6 linked regions of the Oryctolagus cuniculus genome follow. The protein of the gene in region 5 binds, or shares a complex with, the protein of the main gene of each other region. Links are inferred from orthologs where the notes say so. Each region holds a gene or a part of one and is shown on either strand. Other genes may lie near its edges.

Region 1 (4,164 bases), on a different chromosome or scaffold from region 5:
GTGTGGCTTAACCCATTAGCCAGCCCCCACTTGCCACCTCATAATCCCTTATACTTACTCTTGTTTTTCTCTCCTTGGATCAAACTTTGTTAAGGCTCCTGAGTCTTCTGCCTGACCAGGCCTGAACTGGGGCTCCCTTCTCTGTCCTTGTTGAATCCAGTTTGAGCAAGAATCCTGCAAAGTCAGTTTAACAAAAAACTCACCCTTGATGTGGGACCACTCTTGATGTCTCAGTACTCTGGCTGCCCCCAGCAGTAATCCTGTCAAGTCAGCTTAGTCAGAAACCTTACCCTTGATGCTTCCTCCTAGTAGTTTTTGGTCCACGGATCCTCACTTGTCCTTTTTGGAGGCAAAGTTAGGTTCAATCTCTCCCTTAAGGCAAGCCAAAGTTGCAGTGGCCCCTATACTTGTGCCCTGTTGAACAAATTCTGCCCTGATATCTTTAAATGTTTTTTTGTTTTTTTTTTTGACAGGCAGAGTGGACAGTGAGAGAGAGAGACAGAGAGAAAGGTCTTCCTTTGCCGTTGGTTCACCCTCCACTGGCTGCCGCGGCCGGCGCACTGCGGCCGGCGCACCACGCTGATCCGATGGCAGGAGCCAGGAGCCAGGTGCTTTTCCTGGTCTCCCATGGGGTGCAGGGCCCAAGCACCTGGGCCATCCTCCACTGCACTACCTGGCCATAGCAGAGAGCTGGCCTGGAAGAGGGGCAACCGGGACAGAATCCGGTGCCCTGACCGGGACTAGAACCCGGTGTGCCGGCGCCGCAAGGTGGAGGATTAGCCTATTGAGCCACGGCGCCGGCTCTGCCCTGATATCTTTAACAAGTGTCATGAATACCTTTTCCTCGAATACCTCACAGCCTTATTTCTCTAATATCACCCTTTTTTGTTCATTGTTTGGCCCACTAGGCATTTATGGACTGGGAGTTTTCTCTGTGCTATCTCACTGCTTAAGCATAGCAGACAATGAGTGCACGTGCCACACTGTGATTGATTTAGTCGTGCATGGCTACCCCAAATGAGTGCAAACTCCATGAAAAGGTCTTATCCATCTTGTTCCCTACGGTATCCCTAAGTTTTGAACACTGCTATGACATTGCTAAGTGTAAATCGATTTTAGAGGAAAGAGGGGGGCCGCTAAACAGACTGAACGAGATAGAGCAGGCCTCACACACAGAACGACATCTGAGTAGAACTGGAGAGAAAGAGCAGAAACTGAAAAGACCAAGAAAACCAGTATTTCAGCCAGGAGAAATATCGCGAGATGTCGGGCAGCCAAGATGGCTTCCCGCACTTGCCGCCACACTCAATATGGCGAACAGAGAGAGCGTTCCTGGAGGAAGTCACGCGAGATTTGCATCCCGGGGACTGTTCGTGAATTGAGCCGGGGGTGTGGAACAGCCAAGATGGAGCCGGCAGCCGGTGGTCCAGGCCCTCTGATTGTGAATAACAAACAGCCTCAGCCGCCGCCACCTCCACCGCCCGCGGCTGCGCAGCCTCCCCCTGGAGCACCGCGAGCGGGCGGAGGCCTCTTGCCCGGAGGCAAAACCCGCGAGTTCAACCGCAACCAGCGCAAAGACTCGGAGGTCAGGAGCTTCTGGGGGCGAGGCTAGGACCCGGCGGGCGGCGGCTGGGGGCCCGGGCTCGCGCTCGCGGCCGAGCTGGGCTTCCCGGGGGGTTCGGCGGGGCGGGACCGGGGAGCTGTCACTTTACAGCCGAAGGAGCAGGCAGCGAGGCTGGTGTGGCAGTTCCCCGGGCCGGGGGCGTGAGGCTGGCAGCGCCGCCCGAGACAGGCTCCCGGAGCCGGCATCCACCCGCTGGCTCCCGCGGACAAGCCGCCCCCGCCGCGGCCGCCGATGAAAAGCGGGCGCCCCCAGTCTCTTATCCTCTCGGTGGAGGGCGCCGACCGGACGGCGCGGGCGGGCAGGGAGGCGGCTGGCGAGGGTTTAGACACAAGGCGCCTGGAAGGCGGATGGAGCTAATGACCACTCATAGTACAGCGAGGCCGGAGCTTTCGAGAGCAGGGGGCGTTGCCTCTGGTGCAGGCTCCGGCCATGGGTTGGCAGTGCTTGGTGTGCCCAGAGCGCCCGATGCTGGGGGCCCTTAAAGGATTAGACGCACTCGTGCCGGGGACCCAGGCTTCGCTCGAGTTCCAGGGGCGCCGGCTGGGGAGCAGCTGACTGCTCACCTCGCCCCGAGAGAAGGCGTTGCTCCTACCGCTTCCCTGCGCAGATTCATGAATGAAGACGCACGTCGCAGCGTTGTAGGGCATCGTAATCAGCGCGTGCCAGAGCTCTTACTATGCAGTCTCCTTCACCTGACGCAATCCCGGGCCGCTCCGCCGACTGGCGCTGATGAGTGAGAGGGAGCCATCGCTGTCCAGGCGCAGTGTCCCCACTCTTCCCCGCCGCAGAGCCGGGATACTGGCTTTGGACGTGCAGGATCAGCTCCTCTCCGTCTTCTGTGCTTTTGTTGCAACCCCAGACCTCTGGTGTAAAACACTGGCAAGCTCAGAGTTGGAGCTGGAAGTGAATTCTTTGGAAAAGCAAAGGAAACCGACGTTTGTGGGACCCGTGGGTGGTGGGACATCCAGGAGGACGACTCAGTACTTTTTCAAGCACGGGGAGGTTGTGAGAGTGAGGGGCGTAAGCCCACCTTCATCCTGAGAGGGGTTATTTTTGAAAATGGCTTTACATTTTCCTGAGTAGCCATGACCAGTTGAATACCGTTGGGTGCATTTTCACGTCTCTTACTACCTTTTCATTTCCACCGAGACTGAACCCACGGGAGGCCAGGAGACTGTCTGCAGGTGTCTCCTTAAGGTGCAGAGGCTGAGTCAGGCGGAAGGCAGTAGCTGGGAGCTGGATCTATGCCTGGGAGATAGGGAGGCTGATCTCTGCCGAGAGCGCTCTGTGCTACATAATCCTGATCGGTTCTTAAAAACCTGCAGGGTAGACTTTCCTCATCCCCATTCCAAAAAGGAAGAAACTGGGGCTGGCACTGTGGCGTGGTGGGTTAAGCCATCGCCTGCGAGGCCCACATCCCATATGGGCACTGGTTCAAGTCCCAGCTGCTCCACTTCTGACCCAGCTCTCTGCTATGGCCTGGGAAAGCAGCGGAAGATGGCCCAAGCGTTTGGGGTCCTGCACCCGTGTGGGAGACCCAGATGAAGTGCCTGACTTTCGCCTGGCCCAGCCCTGCCTGTTGTGGTCATTTGGGGAGTGAAGCAGTGGGTGAAAGTTCTCGTTCTCTGTCTCTCTCTCTCTCTCTGTAACTCTGACTTTCAAATGACTAAGTAAAGTAAATCTTCTAAAAAGGAAAGTGCGAAGCTCAGTGACTTGGGAGAGGGGTCGTGTGTTGTCTCGGAATAAGGGGCAGAGCTCTTGTTGTAGATGTTACCTAAGACTGAGGGTGGGAACCGCTCTCTTCACCACTCTGCTATCGCGAGGCCTACAGGACGGTGTGTTCTGGGTAATCACCTGTGCCCAGCAGTGAAAAGGGTCTGTCGCATTCTCCTGTGTGTGGGAGGCGGGCCCATCTGTTTGCTGCCTTCTCTGTCAGTTCTCACTGCAGTTTGAGACAAGGGCGAGAGACTAAGAGTTTGAATGCTGGGTTGATAGCCCACTAGCTGCCTAGATTCTGGAATCCTAGCACTTTGTGGAATAGTGGCTTCAGGGCACAACGTACTTGGAAGCTTTGTGTTCGTTCATTTGAGAGGGATTTGAATATAAAGCAGTGGAGGACTGTGCTGGGCATTGTGAAATCGCTGCTGATCAACGTGGACTGACTTCCTGCTTTCAAGGGCCTTGCAGTCTCGTGGCGAGGTGGAAACTGGACCCCACATGCAGTAGTTACAGGCGCTCTGGAGGGACAGGATAAGGTGCTCTGAGACGGCTTGGTGGGGAGGAGCGCGGGGCTAGCCCAGGAGACGAAATATGGTGATCGAACAGCAAGCAAAGGGGAGGCAGTGGTTTCCTGGGAACAGTGGTGGCTCTGGGTGCATTTCTGTTTCCTGCTTTGTAAAGTACGCGTAACGCTGTCTCCTTTTGTCAACAGGGCTACTCCGAGTCACCAGACCTTGAGTTTGAATATGCTGACACAGACAAGTGGGCCGCAGAGCTGTCGGGTAAAGCACAGTCCTTTTGTCATCTGGGGGCAGTTTTCT
Region 2 (3,500 bases), on a different chromosome or scaffold from region 5:
TTCTTTGAAGGAATAAGAGACTTCGGAGGGTTGGCCCGGCATCCTCTTCCCTGTGCGTGTTATTGAGGACAGACGCATCAGGATTGGTGGCCCTGAGCTCTCCTTGCTCTGGGGGTTCTGGGTTGGCACTGGTCCCTGGTGCTGTTGGCATTTTGGGTTGGGCACTTCCTTGTGCAGAGATGGGTGGCATCCTAGGGCCCAGCCTCAGCTTGGTGACAAGTAGCCCCTCCCACTGTGCAGAGGTCAGGATGGGTGCTTGAGTCCTCACGGCTGGTTGGGGTCCTTGGGAATGAATCGGACAGGTGTGTTGGGGTCCTTGGCAGTGAGTACCACAGGTGTAGACAGGTGTGCATGCGACTAATCAGGTTCCCGGCGAAGAGCCTTCAGGAGCTGTTTCAAGGGCGCGGCATTTATGTGACGGAACGGCAGCCTGCTGCTGTTTTCTGGGGTCTGATGGGGGCGGTGTTGCAGAGCTGGGAGCTGGGATGTAAGTGAAGGCCTGGGGCTTATCTAGTGAGCATGAAAGCGTGGCCTGCTGTGAAGCAGTAGGATGCACGTTCCCTGTCACATGTGACAACCAGCCATGGCTTAGTAAATATCCATTTGAATTTAGGAAAATTTGGGCATAAGGTGGGCGAGCAAAGTGCACTTTCTGTTTGAGAGAAGGGTGTTTGGTTTTTTTTTTTTTTTTTTTTTTTTTTTTTTTTTACAGGCAGAGTTAGAGACAGAGAGAAAGGTCTTCCTTTTTCTGTTGGTTCACTACCCAAGTGGCTGCTACGGCTGGTGTGCTGTGGCCGGCGCGCTGCGCCAATCCGAAGGCAGGAGCCGGGTGCTTCCTCCTGGTCTCCCATGTGGGTGCAGGGCCCAAGGACCTGGGCCATCCTCCACTGCCTTCCTGGGCCACAGCAGAGAGCTGGACTGGAAGAGGAGCGACCGGGACAGAATCCGGTGCCCCAACTGGGATTAGAACCCGGTGTGCCGGCGCCGCAGGTGGAGCATTAGCCTAGTGAGCCGCGGCACTGGCGAGAAGGGTGCATTTTTAATAAGCTAATATATCTATTCTAACCTGTTCAAATAAGCATTTAGATTTTTAATTACTTTCATTATACAGCCGCTGGAGCCTTTTCCAGCTTTTCTAATCTAGCTGGGTGATGGTTCTTGCTGCACACATGCTGCGTGTAGTTGTCTAATCCACACAGGCTGCGAGACCTGGGAACCTCACTCCTGAGCTGAAGGACAGTGCTCACAGCCAGCCCGGTCCTTGACCCAGGAGCCACGTCAGTCCTGGGGGACTGGTCTGTGGCGTTTGTAACGCTGCTGATGACATGGAAGAACTGTCGTGACGCTGGGAAGTGTTAAATTCCCCTTCTTTTCTTTTCTGCAGAATCTGAAAGCGGATCCAGAAGAGCTTTTCACAAAACTCGAGAAAATCGGGAAGGGCTCCTTTGGCGAAGTGTTCAAGGGCATTGACAATCGGACTCAGAAAGTAGTTGCCATCAAAATCATTGATCTGGAAGAAGCAGAGGATGAGATAGAGGACATCCAGCAAGAAATCACCGTGCTGAGTCAGTGCGACAGTCCCTACGTAACCAAGTACTACGGGTCCTATCTGAAGGTAGGCTTAAAAATAACGCGTTTTCCGTGACGCAGTGCTGGACCGAGCCCCGAGCCCTGAGCGGCGCCGTAAAGGACTCGTTACAGCGTTCAGGTTATTGGAGGAGGGAGAAATGCTGGCTTTGCTGGTCCTGTCATCTCACACGTCACCTAAGGGAGCATGTTTCAAGTGTTTGATGTTGCAGTTCTGTTTCACACACGAAGGCATTTCTGAGTGGGACTTGGTTGTCAGCAACAGTTCTTATTAAGTCATAATAATAATAATATGTGATATTCAGATGGCTTATGATTGGCAGTAAAAGCCATCAACTGTGGTTTAATTTGATGTTCTTTTTAAAAATTGCTGCTGACAATTGATTAGTTTAGCCACATGTTTTCAAGAAGCAGTCACTTCAGTACAATAGTGGTTGCAGTGAAACGCAGCTCCACGAAGTACCCTTGACCTTGACCTTGACCTTTACTCAGCACTCAGTTTTTTTTTTTTTTTTTAATGTGCTTTTTGTTTTTAATTTGGGGGGCACAGATGCGCTAAAACAGAGAGCTCCTGTCTGTTGGTTCATTCCTTCAGTGCCCACATGGCTGTGGCTGGGCTGGGAGTCAGGAGCTCGTTGAAGTCTCCCATGTGGGCAGCAGGAACCCAACTGCTAGAATCATTACCTGCTGCCTCCCAGGGCTTCTGTTAGCAAGGAGCTGGAGTCAGGAACTGGTACTCTGCCAGGTGATTCAGGTTTCCTGTTTGCTGTCTTAACTGCCAGGCCTAACTCCCGCCCATTACTCCGTTGTTACAGATGGCTTTCTCATCCTGCATGAAACCGTTTTTGGCATTTTAGGTGTGTAGAGTGATCCTGTCCTACCACTAAGAAAACTAGAGAGGATCTCTTACATTTCAACTTCCTTAATAGGGGCTGGCTTCCCAGAACTTACAGATGTGATGTCTGTTCCCATGGGGTTTTGGAAATTTTAAGAATTGGTGGAGCTGGCGCTGTGGCACAGTGGGTTAAAGTGCCGGCCTCCCATATGGATGCCGGTTCGAGTCTTGTCTGCTCCACTTCCAGTCCAGCACCCTGCTGATGTGTTTGGGAGGGCGGCGGAGGATGGCTCAGGTCCTTGGGCCCCTGCACCCACGTGGGAGACCTGGAAGATGCTCCTGTTCCTGGCTTTGGATCGGCTCAGCTCCAGCTGTTACGGCCATCTGGGGAGTGAACCAGCGGATGGAAGACACCTCTCTGTCTCTACATCTTTCTGTAACTCTGTCTTTCAAATAAATAAAATAAATCTTAAAAAAAAATTGGTGAAAAAGCAGACTGCAACAGTTCTTGTGGATCCCAAATCCTAGTAGTTAGAAACGACCAAGAGGGCAGCAGTGGCCATGGGTAAGTTAAGAGCAGGCCTCCCCCTCTCCTGAGTCTGTTCCCTGAATTCCTAAGTTACAGCTTGCACCTTGCTGTGATGTCTGCAGGTCAGTGCAGGTGTTGGTCTTGTAGAAGGGCGGTAGGGTGTAAGTTGAAGATGGGCGTTTTGAGAACCCTTTTGAGTGCCCCATTTTTCCCATGGTATGGACAGTGGCAGTGCGTCATAGTGTCAAATGCATCATCCTGAAGCGGAAGGAGTGAGTTTTGGAGTCAGGTGACCTTGGAGTCAGGTGACCCTGGACCTGGATGTGCTGCTGGTGCGCTTGTATCTTACACTTTCCCACTTCCTTCTGTGTCAGGTGGGAAATTATGGTATAAATACGTCATTGTTGCAAAGACGAAATGGGGTCAGGTGTGCGGAGGTACCTGCCGTCTGGTGGGTGCTGAATTATTCCTTTCTTAACTGCTTGGATTTGTTCGTACCTCGTCCTGTGATGGGGGAGCTGGCAGTGAAGGCACACAGTGAGGCCAAGC
Region 3 (3,500 bases), on a different chromosome or scaffold from region 5:
AAACCCGAGGACCATGTGGTCAGCGTCTGTGGAGTTGGAGTACCTGGACTCAGGCTTCTGAGAAAGGCCAGTGCTGGACTCTGCTGGTGTGACCCTGGTTCCGGGGTGGGGAAGTCCTCCAGGGGCTGTGGCTGTGATGTAGGGTCTCATCACCACAGGTTGGGTTCTGTTGTTCTTAATAGATTGTATGAATATGTTTTTAGATCTATGAGTTTATTTGAAAGGCAGGGTTACAGAGAGAGGGGGAGAAACGGGGGTCTTCCGTCCTCTGGTTCACTCCCCAGATGGCTGCCATGCCTGGGGCTGGGCTAGGCTGAAGCCAGGAGGTGGAGCTCCATCCAGATCTCTTTCGGGGTGGCAGAGGCCCAAGCACTTGGGTCATCTTCCGCTGCTTTTCCAGGCACGTTGGCAGGGAGCTAGATCGGAATTGGAGTAGTCAGGACGGGAACCCGTGTTCATAGGGGATGCTGGCGTCACAGGCGATGGCTTAACCCGCTGCACCACAGAGCCAGGCCTTAGGTGGCATTTTGTAGGAATGGTTTTGGGGTGATAGAGTCCCTGCATCCCTGCCTGCCTCCTGGGGGTGCTGACCTGCTGGTATCTTGCACAGCTGTGGACATGGTCCCAGGTGCTCTGTGTCTTTCCCTGAGGAGCTGCTGCCTTACAAGGAGAGGGAATTGTAGTTTTCTGAACAAAAAAGGTAAAAGATAAAACCAGAAAAGGACTGCCCCGTGCCTGCTGCAGGTCCCTGAGGTGTGTCCCCCGGGGAGCCTCTGCCTGTCCAGCCCCTGACCGGCGTTGCCCACCCTGTCCCTTGGGCCCTGCAGCACCCCCGCGTGGACCCCGAGGAGCTGTTCACCAAGCTGGACCGCATCGGCAAGGGCTCGTTCGGGGAGGTGTACAAGGGCATCGACAACCACACCAAGGAGGTGGTGGCCATCAAGATCATCGACCTGGAGGAGGCGGAGGACGAGATCGAGGACATCCAGCAGGAGATCACCGTGCTCAGCCAGTGCGACAGCCCCTACATCACCCGCTACTTCGGCTCCTACCTGAAGGTGGCTGGGGGGCTTGGCGCCTGCCTGGAGCACTGGCCGTGTCTGCCAAGTGCTCCACGGGGTGCGCTGCCAGGGGAGCCAGGAGGCTGCTGGGGGCTTTTCCTGTTGGGGTTCCTCGGGGGGACAGCCCTGGCTGGCTCCTCCCCACTTGCGACTGGGAGGGGTCTGTGGACTCCACACCTGGGCCTGCTTCCCGGCCACAGCCAAGAGCTAATGGGTTTCTTTTCTTTATTTTTTAAGGCAGAAATCTTCTATCTGCTGGTTCACTCCCCAAGTGGCTACAGTGCCTGGGGCTGGCCTGGGCTGGGCCATGCCAAAGCCGGGAGCTCGGAGCTTTCTCTGGGTCTCCCACAAAGATGTGGGGGCCATCTTCTGCTGCTTGTCCGGCTGTGTTAGCAGGGAGCTGGGTTGGAAGTGGAGCAGCTGGCTGCACTTGAACTGGTTGCTCATGCGGGGTGCTGGCATTGCAGGCAGTGGCTTAACCTCCACTCCACAGTGCTGGTCCCAAGAGCTAATGGCTTTCTCTGTGTTCCAGAGCACCAAGCTCTGGATTATCATGGAGTACCTTGGTGGTGGCTCCGCACTGGACCTGGTAAGGTGTGGGCCCCAATAGTGGGCGGCTTGCTGTGGGGGGTGTCACAGCTCCCGTGGGCCTCCTCTCGGTGTTTTAATGGATTTGGTGTTCGGAGGGATCCTGGTCCCTGTCGAGGAGGGTGGCAGTGCGCCCAAGTGGGTGGTCCAGCTGGGCCCCGTCCCCTGCCAGGCTTTCAGTGAAGGTACAAGCAGGCTCGCCTGCCCTGGAGGGACCTGGAGCCTCAGATGTGCACAGGGCACCCCTCTTGGAGGGGCTGGAATCGAGGCCCCGGCCTTGTGGGGGTGGGGGAGCCGAGGCCCTGCTGTCCCGTCTTCCCGTGCAGCTGAAGCCCGGCCCCCTGGAAGAGACCTCCATCGCCACGATCCTGCGGGAGATCCTGAAGGGCTTGGACTACCTGCACTCGGAGCGCAAGATCCACCGGGACATCAAAGGTCCTGTGGGGGCCGGGCTGTGGGCATGCTGCCACGGGCCTGGGTGTGGGGGCCCTGTGGTCCTGCTGCCGTGGGGGGTGGGGGGTGGGGGCCGGGCTGTGGGCGTGCTGCCACGGGCCTGGGTGTGGGGGCCCTGTGGTCCTGCTGCCGTGGGGGGTGGGGGGTGGGGGTCGTGCTGTGGGCGTGCTGCCACGGGCCTGGGTGTGGGGGCCCTGTGGTCCTGCTGCCGTGGGGGGTGGGGGGTGGGGGTCGTGCTGTGGGCGTGCTGCCACGGGCCTGGGTGTGGGGGCCCTGTGGTCCTGCTGCCGTGGGGGGTGGGGGCCGGGCTGTGGCCATCTGGGGGCTCCATTTCCAGGAAGTGCTGTCAGTGGTGCAGCTCAGAGGGTTTGTGGGACCCCACCGTGTGGCCCCCTCCTCACTGTATGCGTGAGGCTGCACCTGCCATGGGAAGGACTTGTCCAGGCTGTGAGGATGCAGCCAGCCAAGCAAGGGGCTTCCTGGCCAGCTTGGGTCAGGTTCAGGATCAGGGTCAGCTCTGCAGGAGCCTGTGGGGTGCTGCTCTGGTGGCACATTGGGTAAGCCAGTACAGAGAGGGCCCTAGAGCTTAGGCTGGGCAGTTCAGGGTCGGCTTGCTGGGCTCTTGCTGGTCATGCCCTGGAGCCCATGTTGGCATGGGTTTGAGTGTGCCAAGGAGAGCTTAGGTACCTGGGAGGGGGTCCCTGGGTCAGGCAGCCACACGCAGGACTGCCTGGGGGCACTGGGAGCTGAGGCTGACGCGCCCCTGTCCTGTGTCGAGCAGCCGCCAACGTGCTGCTGTCTGAGCAGGGCGACGTGAAACTGGCGGACTTTGGGGTGGCCGGGCAGCTCACGGACACGCAGATCAAGAGGAACACGTTTGTGGGCACGCCCTTCTGGATGGCGCCCGAGGTCATCAAACAGTCTGCCTATGACTTCAAGGTGGGTGACAGCGGCCAGGGCTGTGGGTGCCGTGGCCTCCTCGGGGTGCCGCACGCAGCAGTGGTCCTTTTGGCACCCTGTGCAGGCCGACATCTGGTCCTTGGGAATCACAGCCATCGAACTTGCCAAGGGGGAGCCCCCGAACTCCGACCTGCACCCCATGCGAGTCCTGTTCCTGATCCCCAAGAACAACCCACCCACGCTGGAGGGTGCCCACAGCAAGCCCTTCAAGGAGTTCGTGGAGGCCTGCCTCAACAAGGACCCCCGCTTCGTAAGGCCCGCCTCACCCCCTGACCCAGGCAGGCTGTGGCCTGCGCAGCTCCCAGAATGGGGGGGTGTTCACCCAGGGGGCAGCAGGATTCAGAGGTGACTCCCAGCCTCGGTGCCCATCCTGTCGTGTGCGTGGCCTCCCTGGGGCAGCGCCCAGCCTGTCACGTGTGTGGCCTCCCCGGGGCAGCG
Region 4 (3,939 bases), on a different chromosome or scaffold from region 5:
CCCATGGTGCAGATTAGCAGGAAGCCAGATCAGAAGCAGAGTAACTAGGATTCAAAGCAAGCACTCCAGTACTGGATGCTGGCATCCCAAATGGCAACATAACTGCAGCACTAAACACTTGCCCCCTCCACCCTGCCTTTTTTTTTTTTTTTTTTTCTTTTGGAGTTTTTTTTTTTCTTTTATGATCAATTCCAAACACAGTACAGGGAAGATGGAATGAATACGAAAAAATATCATTTTATTTCCCCATTAAACACTAAGTCATATTATTCAAAATGTGTTTCAAAATCCTTAGCCAGATAACCAATTCCAGTCACTATTTTAGTTCTAATGTTCACCAAGAAAATAGTCAAGTAACAGAAAGCCATTATGAGAAACCATCAAGAGAGAAGAGCTACATTGCTATCTATAATTTAACTTAGTAGGTTATTCTCTCAATATTCAGCAAGTTTGCTTAAAAATTACTATTCCATTAGTTTATAGTGACATTAAAAAAAAAAAACGTATAATTTCAAACTCAACATTCCTTTCACCGTGAACATAAAACTTCTAAAAGATAGCTGTGAGTTGGGGTACAATAAGGACTGTGGCTGCTGGGACAGTACTGTTCAAAGCCAAAACGATTGGCAGCCTTGGAAAGGCATAAACTATATACACACACTCTCAGTATGCTACTATTTCTCATATTTTTTTCTTTGCATACTTGTCTCATAATATGGTATAAATAATTTCTTTGAAGACAATCAAGATGAATACATTTTCATCTTCATTTCAAAATAACTATTTTAAATGAAAAATTTTCTCACATTTGTTAAATATGTCTTAGAGATGAGTTTAAGTATTTTCTTCACTACATGTATAATTTTTCTACCCTATCTTAGTGCCTCATTACAATCAATTTGGCAATAAGACCTCTCTAGTACTCCATGAAAAACTGCATTCAATAGATTATAAGATCGTTACATCTGCACCCAAATTCTTATATGCTACAACAAAGTCTAAAAAATGTATGGCCATTCATCAACACCCTTGCATCAATTATTGCAAATAACCTCACATATGTATTTAATTCAAATTTTGTGGAGAAAGGGTACAAAATAAATACTACAATATTTCTTTAACTCTAATGCTGCCTAGAGTAAGATGAAAAGATTAATATTACTGAGAGGAAGAATCAAATGGCTTTAAGGTCTGTCTTCCAAGTAGTTAGAAAATTTTCACAAAACAAAGAGCCTATGCCAACACATCTTTCTTGTAGTGTAATATAATTGCTAATATGAGGTAAATCTGTAAGCAATTAATACAAACATGAGTATAAACAGGTATAAGTCACCACTAAGTCACAGTCTGGTGAAAGACTTCTCAGCTAAAGTATCTGGGGACAGGATTATGGGAAGTGAGAAGGGGGTGAACAGTTTTCCAGTGGGAATACCTTTTATGTGCCTTATCATTAGCATCAACTTATATGTAACAGTCCACTGCTGTAAAAAGGTATATCCTTTCCAAGTATGCTGGCCTAGAATATACTTTATATAGCATAGTAAGATTATATAAGAATTACTAATGCTTCATTTGCATTTATATTTGGATATACACATAATCATAAATGCATATCAAAAACTATAAACAGAATTTTAAAGTACTTTTATCTCATTTTGGAAAAGTTTACAGTTTATGTTCTATAGAATTTTCTATAATATCTAAATTCAGGGACAAAATGAAAGGAAAACATTACTATCTCTTTAGTAAATGGTTTGTGCAAGACCTCAAGCTTACTCATCTTTTTATATATGGGTTTATTTGATGAGGATTGTAATCCAATGATTGTTTAGCAGCAATTTTACCAAACTGTAAATTCTTTTATTAACAGGCATTATAAACAGATAATACTAATCTTATTTAAAAAACCATGAGTGCCACACCGGTGAATATACAGCTTATGAATAACTTAAAAAGTATTTCCCCTTTTAAAAGGCAACACACAGCATACAAAAACCTAATCTAAACAAAGAAGCTATAATATGAATACATGATTGATGTGTCTAAAATGATATATACAGTACATAATGAACGTTAATTATGTGATCAGTACATTTTTCTGTACGATTCCCTTCATGCTTCACTTTCTCCAGAAACTGAATTCTGAACTTCCTCTTCTAAAATTGGTACAATCAGGTTATCCTTGGACATCAAATTGTATTTCATCACAAATTTAGTAAACCGATGACACAAAAAGGTTTCATTTTCATATTCATCAAATATCTGCCGGTGATGAAAATAAGCATGCGAAAATATTCTATAAATCCTACGGCATACTGATCCTAGTTTTGCTACAGATGATTCCTTTATGCTAACCCTGCTAGGAAAATATTTATTGCTATTCAGAAGACATGCAGCACCATCAAGCGTGTGTCTAGTATAGTCTATAGCAGGACACTCTTTTGGAGTTTTATGAGCTGCACACAGAAAAATCCACTGTTCAGTTGCTGTCATTTGAGTACAAGTATCTGGATGGCATTCACTCTGAAGTTTGACAGCAAGTCCATTTAGCTCAAGACAGAATTGCCTTAAATGTTCATACTTCCATACACCTTCATCTTGGCCTTCAGGTGGTTCAAGAATTTTATCAATATTGGAGCAATCTGCTCTTATGTTCTGCTGAATATACTGCTGAACAGCAAGTGTACTGTCCATTTCATCAAAGGATTCATCAGGCCAATTATAGAAATCCTGCGCCTTGGTGCCCGGCCTGTTCCGCCTCAACACTGCCGTCCCCTCCGCCATGACCATAGTGCCAGAATCTCCACCCTGCCTTTTAAGAAAATTTCTATTCATCTGTGAGTTTTTGAACTCCTGTGACCATGCATCACTCTGGACTTATGTTGAGAACTGACCCCAGGGAGGCACGCATGGGTGCAGAGCAACCTGGTAGGAGATATGATGGTGCTTGGCTGCCACAGGAATGCTGTAGTCATACCATTAGAATCTGGATACACACAGAGGAAGTGAGGGAGGGATGCAGGAGGGGAGGGAGAGAGGAAGACAAAAAAGAATCTGGATATTCTTGCTAAGGTAGAGCCACCAGGAGGAATGGTTGCCGAGTGAGAAACAAATGAAAATTATATATATATGTGTGTGTGTGTGTGTGTGTATTATATATATAAAAGTGAGAACAGTAAATGTGTTTTTAAAAATTTTATTTTTTAATTTTGATTTTCAATTAGTTATAAGCAGTCAATGTAACATGTAGATACAATTCTATGAACATAGTGATATTGCCTTCCTCCTTCCCTCCCTTTCCCTCTCTCTCTTGCTCCAAAATCTCTGAAATATCCCAAGAAATCCTAAAGAACACTAGCCTTTGACCATTAGTTCTGATGTTCCCTGTCTTCATGATGCAGTTTATTTTATTTCCTTGAAAAGTAGAGTTGCAGAAAGAGAGAGAGGGAGAGATGGGAGAGAAAGAGATCTCCCATCTACTAGTTCACTCCCCAGATGGGTGCAAGGCTGGTGCTGGGCCAGGCTGAAGTCAAGAGCCAGGAACTCGGTCTCCCTCATGAGTGCAGGGACTCAAGCACTTGGGCCATTCTCCACTGCTTTCCCAGGCACACTAGCAGGGATCTGGGTCAGAAGTGGAGAAGCCAGGACTCCAATCAGTGCCATAATGGGATGCCGGCATTGCACGTGGTGGCTTAACCTGCTATGCCACAACGCCAGCCCCATGATGGCAATTCTTACCAGTGTCCTTGGCCATGGCTGTTAGTACTGGCATGTCAGCTCTTTCTCTCTGGTAATTACATTGGCAGGACTCGGTCTTCCTGTATTTTCTCTTGTGTGAAGCCTGAGACTACCCTTTCAGTGAGCTTCAAAATTTGCATGTTGGCTGCAAAGAGAAAAGCCATTTACTGCTTCCCTGAGAAGTTGGCTGGCTTTTTGCAA
Region 5 (4,165 bases):
TGTGATAGGAGCCACATCTCCCCCAAGGAATAGGACTGAATAAAGAGGTTCTATCCCGTCACTTTAAAATGAAAACAATTGTATTTAATAATATGGACAAATAGTTCTTAATATTACTACAATCTAAGATCTCACTTTATGCATATATAAAATATGGCAGCATGGGTAGTTACGTCTAAGCTGTTTTCCATTAAACTATAGTAACAAGGCAAATGATCTACCACTTTATCTCTTTGAAATCGCAAGCCAAATGGTGCATCCCATAGTGAAACTTTTGTTAGTTTTTTACAAGAAAAAACATTTTAGAGATGCAACTAATTGTACACCCAGTTTCCCTGTATGACTGTAATTACTGACCCTCTTTTCTTTATATGCTGTTAGAGTATCTTTGTCCTTTTTTCAACAAACGATCACTAGCTGTATTAACGATTGGAAAGTTACTAGTTCGTTAGGATATTTCCTGGGAAACTAAGCACGTAAAAATTACACGACTGTCCTTATACACACTTACCTTTTATGTGTATATTATATTCATTCAAACATTTAATGACCCAGGAAAACATCTTTAGCCGTCCACCCAGGATTTTAAACTATATTCATGCTGCTTTTATCTTCTATTTAGATCAAAAGATTCTATCATTAATGAAAGTTCTTGCGAGCTCATTCAGTTCTAAAACGTAACCCATCTCCTTCAAAGTTATCTTTTCCTTTCTAGTCACCATCGTCAAAATCCAAAGGATCTCACTACCTCCTCTTCTCCCAAGGGGGGAAAAAAAGAAAGAAAACGACCGTTTCCAGCTCCCCTCCCCACCCGCTGAAACACGCCCGTCCCAGGATGGGAGGCAAAGTGTAACAGGTCGGCAGGCGACCCGGCGCCCAGAAGCGGGACCGACTCGGGCAGCCAGTCACCACGGCCGCGAAGATCCGGGCGATCTGCCAGAAAGAGAACGTCCCCCAATCCCGGGAACTGACTGGCGCTCAGAAACCGGAGACAGAGCGAGTGACAGGCAGAGAAAGAGCCCCAACCCTGTGGGACCGCCTGAAACACGCAAAGAATGCAACAGAAACGTCAGGAATTCAGGGTGGGCAGCAACCGGCCAGAGCGATCAACCAAGTTCAAACCCAGCTCCGAAGGCAGGCACATGGCTGAGACCCTCGGGCTGGGTAACGGCTCCCGGGCTCGGTCTACGAACAGGAAACTGACAGTCTCTCGTTCAAGGCCCAACTGGCTCCCAAAAGTGGGAGCTGGAGCCCCAGCTTTGCGGTAACCCGCGTCGGGACACTCGGCACGGGTCTGAGGGCGGGCCTGGGGGAGGAGCCGCGCTCCTTCCCCGCCCCCTAACAGCCGCCTCTCCGCGGCCGGACGGCGTCCTCAGTGCGCCTGCGTAGGGTGAGGCCGCACTCTATTTGGCCATTAAGCGTGCGGCGGCAGCGGCGTTCTATACCCGGCATGCCGTGCGGGAGCGGCGATCCTACGTCGATCCCTTTTCCAACCCTGCCTCCTTTCCCCCCGCCCGCCGCGGCCCCCCCTTCCCCTAAAGTGAGTGAGTGAGACCGGCAGATGGAGGAGGGACTGTAATGGCGGCGGCCGGCAGCTCCCTGCTCTGACCCACGGCAGGCACACAGCAACGACCCCCTCCCCGCCCCTCTCCCGGCGGCCTCCGCCCCGCCGCCAGCGCGGTGCCACCCTCTCCGGCCCTTCCCCCGGCAGTCGGCGTCTCGCCCTGTGCCCCGGCCGGGGCCCCTCACACAATGGACGAGCTTGCCGGAGGCGGTGGTGGAGGCCCGGGGATGGCGGCCCCTCCCCGGCAGCAGCAGGGACCTGGGGGGAACCTGAGCCTCTCGCCGGGAGGGAATGGAGCGGCGGGCGGCGGGGGTCCAACGGCCTCGGAGGGAGCGGGTCCCGCGGCAGGCCCCGAGCTGTCCCGGCCGCAGCAGTACACTATCCCGGGGATCCTGCACTACATCCAGCACGAGTGGGCTCGGTTCGAGATGGAGCGAGCGCACTGGGAGGTGGAGCGGGCCGAACTGCAGGTACCTCGCTGGGGTCGGTGTGCGGGACGGCGGCGGCGGCGGCGGGGATCCCGGCCGGGGGGTGGGGCCGGGGCTCTCCTCCGCCGGCGCCCGCGACTTGGGAGGCCGGGAGGCACCTACCTGTGCGGCTCGGGGGTGCTGGTCCTGGCGTCGGCTCTTCCTAGGTCCCCCTCCCCCTTTCCCGCAGAAGCCCGTTCCCCAACCCTCACTTAGCTACGCGGTACGGGCTCGCTCGGGGCAGCCATTTTGGCTTTTAGTATGGCGTCTGCGGGGGCTCCTCCGGAGGCGGCCTGCCCGGGCCTCCGGGACTTGAGGCCGATCTCCTCTGTGCCGGAGAGTCCGGCGTGGGGCCTCTGGACCCCGAGTTTGCTCTTGTTTGTTCCTCTTGAGGTTGCGACCCCGAGGAGAGGGCCGGGGTGAGCATCTTCCCACCTTTTTCCGGACACCCCCACCCCTTCCCATTTGACTTGGGTGGCCCCTTCCCGCGACTTGGTGGGCACTTGCCCCTTGACAGGCACGCTTCTTCCTCGGACTGCCGCCAAGCACAGTGGCTGGCGGCTGACCTGTGAAGTTTCCGTTTCCCACCGTCTACTCCTCAGTACTTTCTTACCTGGGATGCTGCTTTACTCTCCCTTGGCTTCTCTGTAGTTCTTCCTTACTTAGTGACTCATCAACGCTTTGAACACCGGACTTGACTTTTCAGAGTACCTTTCGCTAGACCTCCCCCTCTCAGCCCCGAGATGACCGCTAGAAAGCCAAACCAAACTAAGCTGCTGGATTTCGGAAACGGCTGAGAAGACTGAACATTTTTACTTGAAGTAAAGCGTACTTCTCTGACATTACTGACTCATGCAGGAGAAGCCGGCTTAAATGTCCTGAGGATCCTTCCTCTTACTGTGACCCTTGGATAGTCCGCGTTATCTAGCTTTTGGAAGATACTGGTAGCTGGGGGCTCCTGTCTTGCCTTTCAAAATTGTTGCACGTTTTTGAAAGGGTTATTTAACTTTTTTTTTTTTTTTTTTTTTTTTTTTTTTTTGACAGGCAGAGTGGACAGTGAGAGAGACAGAGAGAGAAAGGTCTTCCTTTGCCGCTGGTTCACCCTCCAATGGCCGCCGCTGCAGCCGGCGCACCGCGCTGATCCTGGCAGGAGCCAGGAGCCAGGTGCTTTTCCTGGTCTCCCATGGGGTGCAGGGCCCAAGCACCTGGGCCATCCTCCACTGCACTCCCTGGCCATAGCAGAGAGCTGGCCTGGAAGAGGGGCAACCGGGACAGAATCCGGCGCCCCAACCGGGACTAGAACCCGGTGTGCCGGCGCCGCAAGGTGGAGGATTAGCCTATTGAGCCACGGCGCCGGCTTAACTTTTTTGAATAGTTGTGTTTAAGCCCCTTTCTAGGGCAGATTTAGGTCTAGAGGAAAAACATGTATCTAAATAGTGTTGCACCTGTTCTTCAGGCTGTTAATATATTTAGGATGCAAGCGGTGTTGTGCCTCGTCATATATGCCTATGGTGCATATAGTTAGGAAAACAGTGTTGAAGGAAGATTGGATTACATAGAAAGGGTGTCCTCAAACAAATGTGAATCTCTTCAGTTTGATTTTTGAACTAGTGAACCAATGATTCCACTAAGTGGGTGAAGTTAAACGTCTTTAAAAAGTTAAAATATTTACATATTTTGATACTTTATCAAGTTTCAAAAAATTTACAAGTTTACACCTGTTGTGTTTTAGAACTGTGCTGTGCTATACTATAGGGCTTTAAAAATACAACTTTCAAAAAGCTGAGGTCTGTGATTTCTTTTAACTTGGGTGCAGCCTTCTCTAAAATACTGAGATTTGTAGAGTTCTGTTGGTGTATAGCTACACTGTGCTGGGAACTTAATTTTCTGTGTAAGTAGAGTGAAGCTAGTAAAAACAATTATCTTAAAAAATCGCACTGAGGCTTGGACTCAACTAAATTATATGCCACTGGTCCATGATGATTTTTTGACCTTTGTTGTACACAAGCTTTGATTTTAACACTTTGCAAGTTAACAGTTGTACTTGTTACTCATAAGCTTCCTTCATGTTACGTAGCTGAGGAAAAGTTTTACTGGTATGAAGTCTATATTGCCTGCCCTAGCTCTTGTTTTT
Region 6 (3,129 bases), on a different chromosome or scaffold from region 5:
GATGCTGTCTGCGTATACAAGCTTACGTGTGTGGGCATCATGTGTATTTTTTAACCCTAGTTGTCAGCACGCTGTATACTTGACTTTGTATATTGCTCATGGAGTGCCGTGGACCTTGCTCTCTGGCAGGGGCGTGCTGTCCTGACTGTGGACATCTTTTTCTCCCTCTCTTCCCGACGCAGACATCGATGCCAGGCCATGGGACTTCCAGGCAGAAGAGTGCACCCTGCGGGCCAACATCGAGGCTTTTAACAGCCGGCGGTATGACAGGCCCCAGGACTCGGAATTTTCCCCTGTGGATAATTGTTTGCAGAGCGTGCTGGGGCAGAGGTTGGATCTGCCTGAAGATTTCCACTATTCCTACGAGCTCTGGCTGGAGAGAGAGGTGTTTTCACAGCCCATCTGTTGGGAGGAGCTACTGCAGAATCACTGAGCCCTTGTCAACAAAGCATCTACTAGATGGAGGTTGGCTCCAATACATGGTGCTCTGCCTACCCTGCCCACTCAGCCTCTGTTTCCAGCTCCAGGACTGCTTGTTCAGGGGGATCTGGCCCAGCCCAGGGACGTGAAGTGTAGTTCAGGGCCAGTCCGGGAACTTGTGGACCTAGAGATGGCGGGAGGCTGCTGAGTCCCAGCAAGTTGATGGACTTGCCCAGGGGTCAGTCGGCTGCCCAGCTGACTTTGGAAATCTCTGGGTGGATCAATCCTTGCCGGCTCTTTGGTGGGACCTCTGCCCGCTTGAGTCTTAGCTAGACCCAGGGCTAGCCTCTGCTGGCTCCCAGAAGGAGACGTTGGTGAAGACGTCGGGCCCACAGCATTCATCACAGGGAGGAAGGAGGTGCAGGTCACGTAATAGGCACACGTTTTCCTGGTCACCCTGGATTCCTAGCACTCGTCAGAAGTGTGGTAAAACCAACTTTGAGATGAAGTGTGTCTTTTACATTTTAAATTTTAATCGTTAGCTCTAGGATGACTTTGGAGCACCTGCACCTCCTTTGTGGAGGATGATGACTTTCGGTTCCCTAAATGCCGCATGTTACACAAAAGTGGGTATAGAGGGTTTTTTCCCTTTATTTCCAAAGAGATCTGTGTTCACTATGAAAATTACTCCCTTGTGTACCTTGTGTAGGGCATGAAGTACACTGCCGTTTTGAAAGGGCCACAACCAACACGAAACAATCAGCCCCTCTCTAAGGACGCTTCTTGTTTTTCTCAAACTACTTCAGTCTTAAAATGGCCGCATACGCTGCAGAAAATTATCCTTTTCATCCAAGTCATTTTTTTTAATGACAAGCTAACTACAGGGGGTTTTATTTATTGAGATGTCATGTCCATTTGTGCTCATGATTGATTTATTTTTAATTGAAAAGAACAGCAAGAGCATCACAGCTGGCCATTTTTCTTCTCCTCCAATGTTGATTAATGTTTTTTTTTCCCCTTTTTACTGCTAGCAGTTTCAATGTGTCATGTGGAGATTTAGCAGTCCTGCTCCTACCTACACGTATTGCACATTTCACTGCAGATGGAAGGGTTGATGCATCAGCCTCTCTGTACTTCTCTCTTCCACAGCAGAGTCACAGCCCCACCCCCACCCCCACCCCCACCCCCCTGCGAAACAGGCTCGTAGAAAAGTCCCTGACTCAGCCAGGATCCTTTACTGCTCTGTGTCCCCACCATTGTCATCTAGATATTCACGCTCCTTTAATGCCCACCCCCAAGGGCAGACACTGCTGATCTCTTTATGATGGCACCAGGAACACACTCTGGAGGTCTAGCCCAAGCTGGCTTATTCACCCTGCCCTTTGTCAACCACATCTCGTTAGGAAGCCATGACAGAGCTCTGGCGATACCTGAAGGAGCTGAATCAACATATCACAATTAAACTGGGTTTTATCTCTTTGTGTTTGCAGATAGCAGCGGTTCCCTTTTTACAGAAAAGTCCTGAGGAATGTAAGCATGCAATGGATGAACTTCTTAAAGTAAACTGTAAATTCTACGTAGGCAGGACAGAAGTCTCCCCTGTGATCAAAATAATTTACTGAGCATAGCTTCTGTGAATTTTAGTCATCCAGGATCAGCCCAGTATGATTTTAATATAACTCGCATGAAAAGACAAGTTGTCAAGAAGAGAGCAATCTATTTCTTTTAAAGTCATGTAGTTCATTCACTTTGTGTCAGGGATACGTTGCCCTTTTAAAAGCATGCACGAGTATGTCTTCGGAGGCACAGAGGCATGCTAAGATTTCACGTTTCACCGTTCGTTATTTACAGCTCCTGCGTGAGGGAAGTGCATGTGTAGACACTAAAGCACCAAGGACGAATGATCAGCTTCAAATCACAGGGAGTTTCCCCAGGCTCGCTGGGCCTGGCTCTCAGGACCTGCCACCCAGCCCTGTATACTAAGGTAGCCATGCTGAATCTCCAGTCTGGGAGCCCATCTGTGTGGTCAGGGATAAATTCATGTCAACTGACTTCCAGTGGTGATTGCTGTTACTACGTAGAACACTTGAGTGATTTGTAAAGAGAAGATTTTTATTTGTGAATATTTCAGCAAAAGTTTATGTGGATTGATAACACTGTTATCTACTGAAGCACTTTAATAAAAAGAAAAATAATCTGGAAATAGAAATTTGGTCTCTAAAGGTTTTTTTTTTAATGCAAGATAATCTTAAAGTCATACTATACTATTTATAAAAAGGAAGAACATTCATAGGCGGTAATTATGGAAACCCTTGCATTATGGAACCCTGACTGTTCCCTGGCGTAGACTAACACAAACGACTCAATCCTGTGATTTCGGACCAATGCTGACTCCTTGCTCCCGAGTCTAGAAGGCTGCTGCAGGTCTGCCCCACTTAGCGTGGCTTGCAAGATTCACTCTGCTCCAACGCTCTTATTCCAGCGCTGGGCTGATAGAATAGCTCCTGCTTGGGACACACCATTTTCATAGTAAAGGGCAAAAGTAAGAAACAAAACCTACGAGGCAAGCCCAGGTAAAGCTCCCGCTTGGATGTGGCATAAATCAAACTGTCCATATTCCACTGGTCAAAAGCAACTCATGTGGCAAAGATGAATACTGGGCCAAAGAAACACATTCTACCTACAGAGCAGCAAGTATAGGATGGAGTG

What was found.
Region 1: the proteins of STRN3 (region 5) and STRIP1 are in contact, whole or in part, in a cryo-EM structure (PDB 7K36), measured with the Homo sapiens proteins. The link is inferred for Oryctolagus cuniculus from reciprocal best matches to the Homo sapiens genes STRN3 and STRIP1. Residues at the interface, in NP_001077362.1 of Homo sapiens: Thr64, Pro66, Gly67, Leu69, His70, Tyr71, Gln73, His74, Val88, Glu89, Ala91, Glu92, Ala95, Arg96, Phe99, Leu100, Glu103, Gly106, Gln107, Leu110, Asp113, Leu114; in NP_149079.2 of Homo sapiens: Arg441, Ile445, Tyr447, Leu449, Thr455, Val456, Val457, Gly458, Leu459, Arg491, Ser492, Pro493, Leu494, Ser495, Phe792, Leu793, Pro794, Val795, Asn797, Cys798, Leu799, Val802.
Region 2: STRN3 (region 5) and STK24 share a complex: the UniProt entries of both Homo sapiens proteins name them as parts of the core of STRIPAK complex. The link is inferred for Oryctolagus cuniculus from reciprocal best matches to the Homo sapiens genes STRN3 and STK24.
Region 3: STRN3 (region 5) and STK25 share a complex: the UniProt entries of both Homo sapiens proteins name them as parts of the core of STRIPAK complex. The link is inferred for Oryctolagus cuniculus from reciprocal best matches to the Homo sapiens genes STRN3 and STK25.
Region 4: the proteins of STRN3 (region 5) and MOB-like protein phocein are in contact, whole or in part, in a cryo-EM structure (PDB 7K36), measured with the Homo sapiens proteins. The link is inferred for Oryctolagus cuniculus from reciprocal best matches to the Homo sapiens genes STRN3 and MOB4. Residues at the interface, in NP_001077362.1 of Homo sapiens: Arg477, Ser478, His479, Phe480, Asp481, Asp501, His502, Thr503, Glu524, Tyr527, Thr528, Arg530, Ala531, Ile533, Ile553, Pro569, Tyr570, Asp571, Thr572, Tyr573, Asp587, Ala588, Trp590, Ala606, Asn652, His683, Asn685, Arg765, Lys766, Lys767; in NP_056202.2 of Homo sapiens: Arg12, Asn13, Arg14, Pro15, Gly16, Thr17, Lys18, Phe22, Trp25, Thr36, Gln40, Gln41, Tyr71, Arg75, Cys78, Leu79, Asn82, Val86, Lys87, Gln89, Ala112, His113, Ile122, Asp123, Arg126, His127, Leu129, Asp130, Gly131, Ala133.
Region 6: STRN3 (region 5) and STRIP2 share a complex: the UniProt entries of both Homo sapiens proteins name them as parts of the core of STRIPAK complex. The link is inferred for Oryctolagus cuniculus from reciprocal best matches to the Homo sapiens genes STRN3 and STRIP2.

What each region holds. Positions count from the first base shown.
Region 1 is NC_091438.1:60,289,706-60,293,869, reverse strand, and holds the start of STRIP1 (striatin-interacting protein 1), read left to right. Parts: upstream 1-1,364; 5' UTR 1,365-1,405; coding exon 1,406-1,585; intron 1,586-4,055; coding exon 4,056-4,125; intron 4,126-4,164. UniProt on the Homo sapiens protein: Plays a role in the regulation of cell morphology and cytoskeletal organization. Required in the cortical actin filament dynamics and cell shape. Part of the striatin-interacting phosphatase and kinase (STRIPAK) complexes.
Region 2 is NC_091440.1:14,035,951-14,039,450, forward strand, and holds part of STK24 (serine/threonine-protein kinase 24), read left to right. Parts: intron 1-1,384; coding exon 1,385-1,615; intron 1,616-3,500. UniProt on the Homo sapiens protein: Serine/threonine-protein kinase that acts on both serine and threonine residues and promotes apoptosis in response to stress stimuli and caspase activation.
Region 3 is NC_091434.1:283,383-286,882, forward strand, and holds part of STK25 (serine/threonine-protein kinase 25), read left to right. Parts: intron 1-827; coding exon 828-1,058; intron 1,059-1,593; coding exon 1,594-1,650; intron 1,651-1,975; coding exon 1,976-2,084; intron 2,085-2,883; coding exon 2,884-3,041; intron 3,042-3,126; coding exon 3,127-3,312; intron 3,313-3,500. UniProt on the Homo sapiens protein: Oxidant stress-activated serine/threonine kinase that may play a role in the response to environmental stress.
Region 4 is NC_091440.1:69,971,548-69,975,486, forward strand, and holds MOB-like protein phocein, read right to left. Parts: upstream 2,801-3,939; 5' UTR 2,791-2,800; coding exon 2,113-2,790; 3' UTR 218-2,112; downstream 1-217.
Region 5 is NC_091443.1:44,334,543-44,338,707, forward strand, and holds the start of STRN3 (striatin-3), read left to right. Parts: upstream 1-1,365; 5' UTR 1,366-1,752; coding exon 1,753-2,034; intron 2,035-2,038; exon of another isoform or gene 2,039-2,081; intron 2,082-2,154; exon of another isoform or gene 2,155-2,386; intron 2,387-2,644; exon of another isoform or gene 2,645-2,801; intron 2,802-4,165. UniProt on the Homo sapiens protein: Calmodulin-binding scaffolding protein which is the center of the striatin-interacting phosphatase and kinase (STRIPAK) complexes.
Region 6 is NC_091434.1:165,685,938-165,689,066, forward strand, and holds the end of STRIP2 (striatin-interacting protein 2), read left to right. Parts: intron 1-182; coding exon 183-433; 3' UTR 434-465; exon of another isoform or gene 466-2,271; 3' UTR 2,272-2,629; downstream 2,630-3,129. UniProt on the Homo sapiens protein: Plays a role in the regulation of cell morphology and cytoskeletal organization. Required in the control of cell shape. Calmodulin-binding scaffolding protein which is the center of the striatin-interacting phosphatase and kinase (STRIPAK) complexes.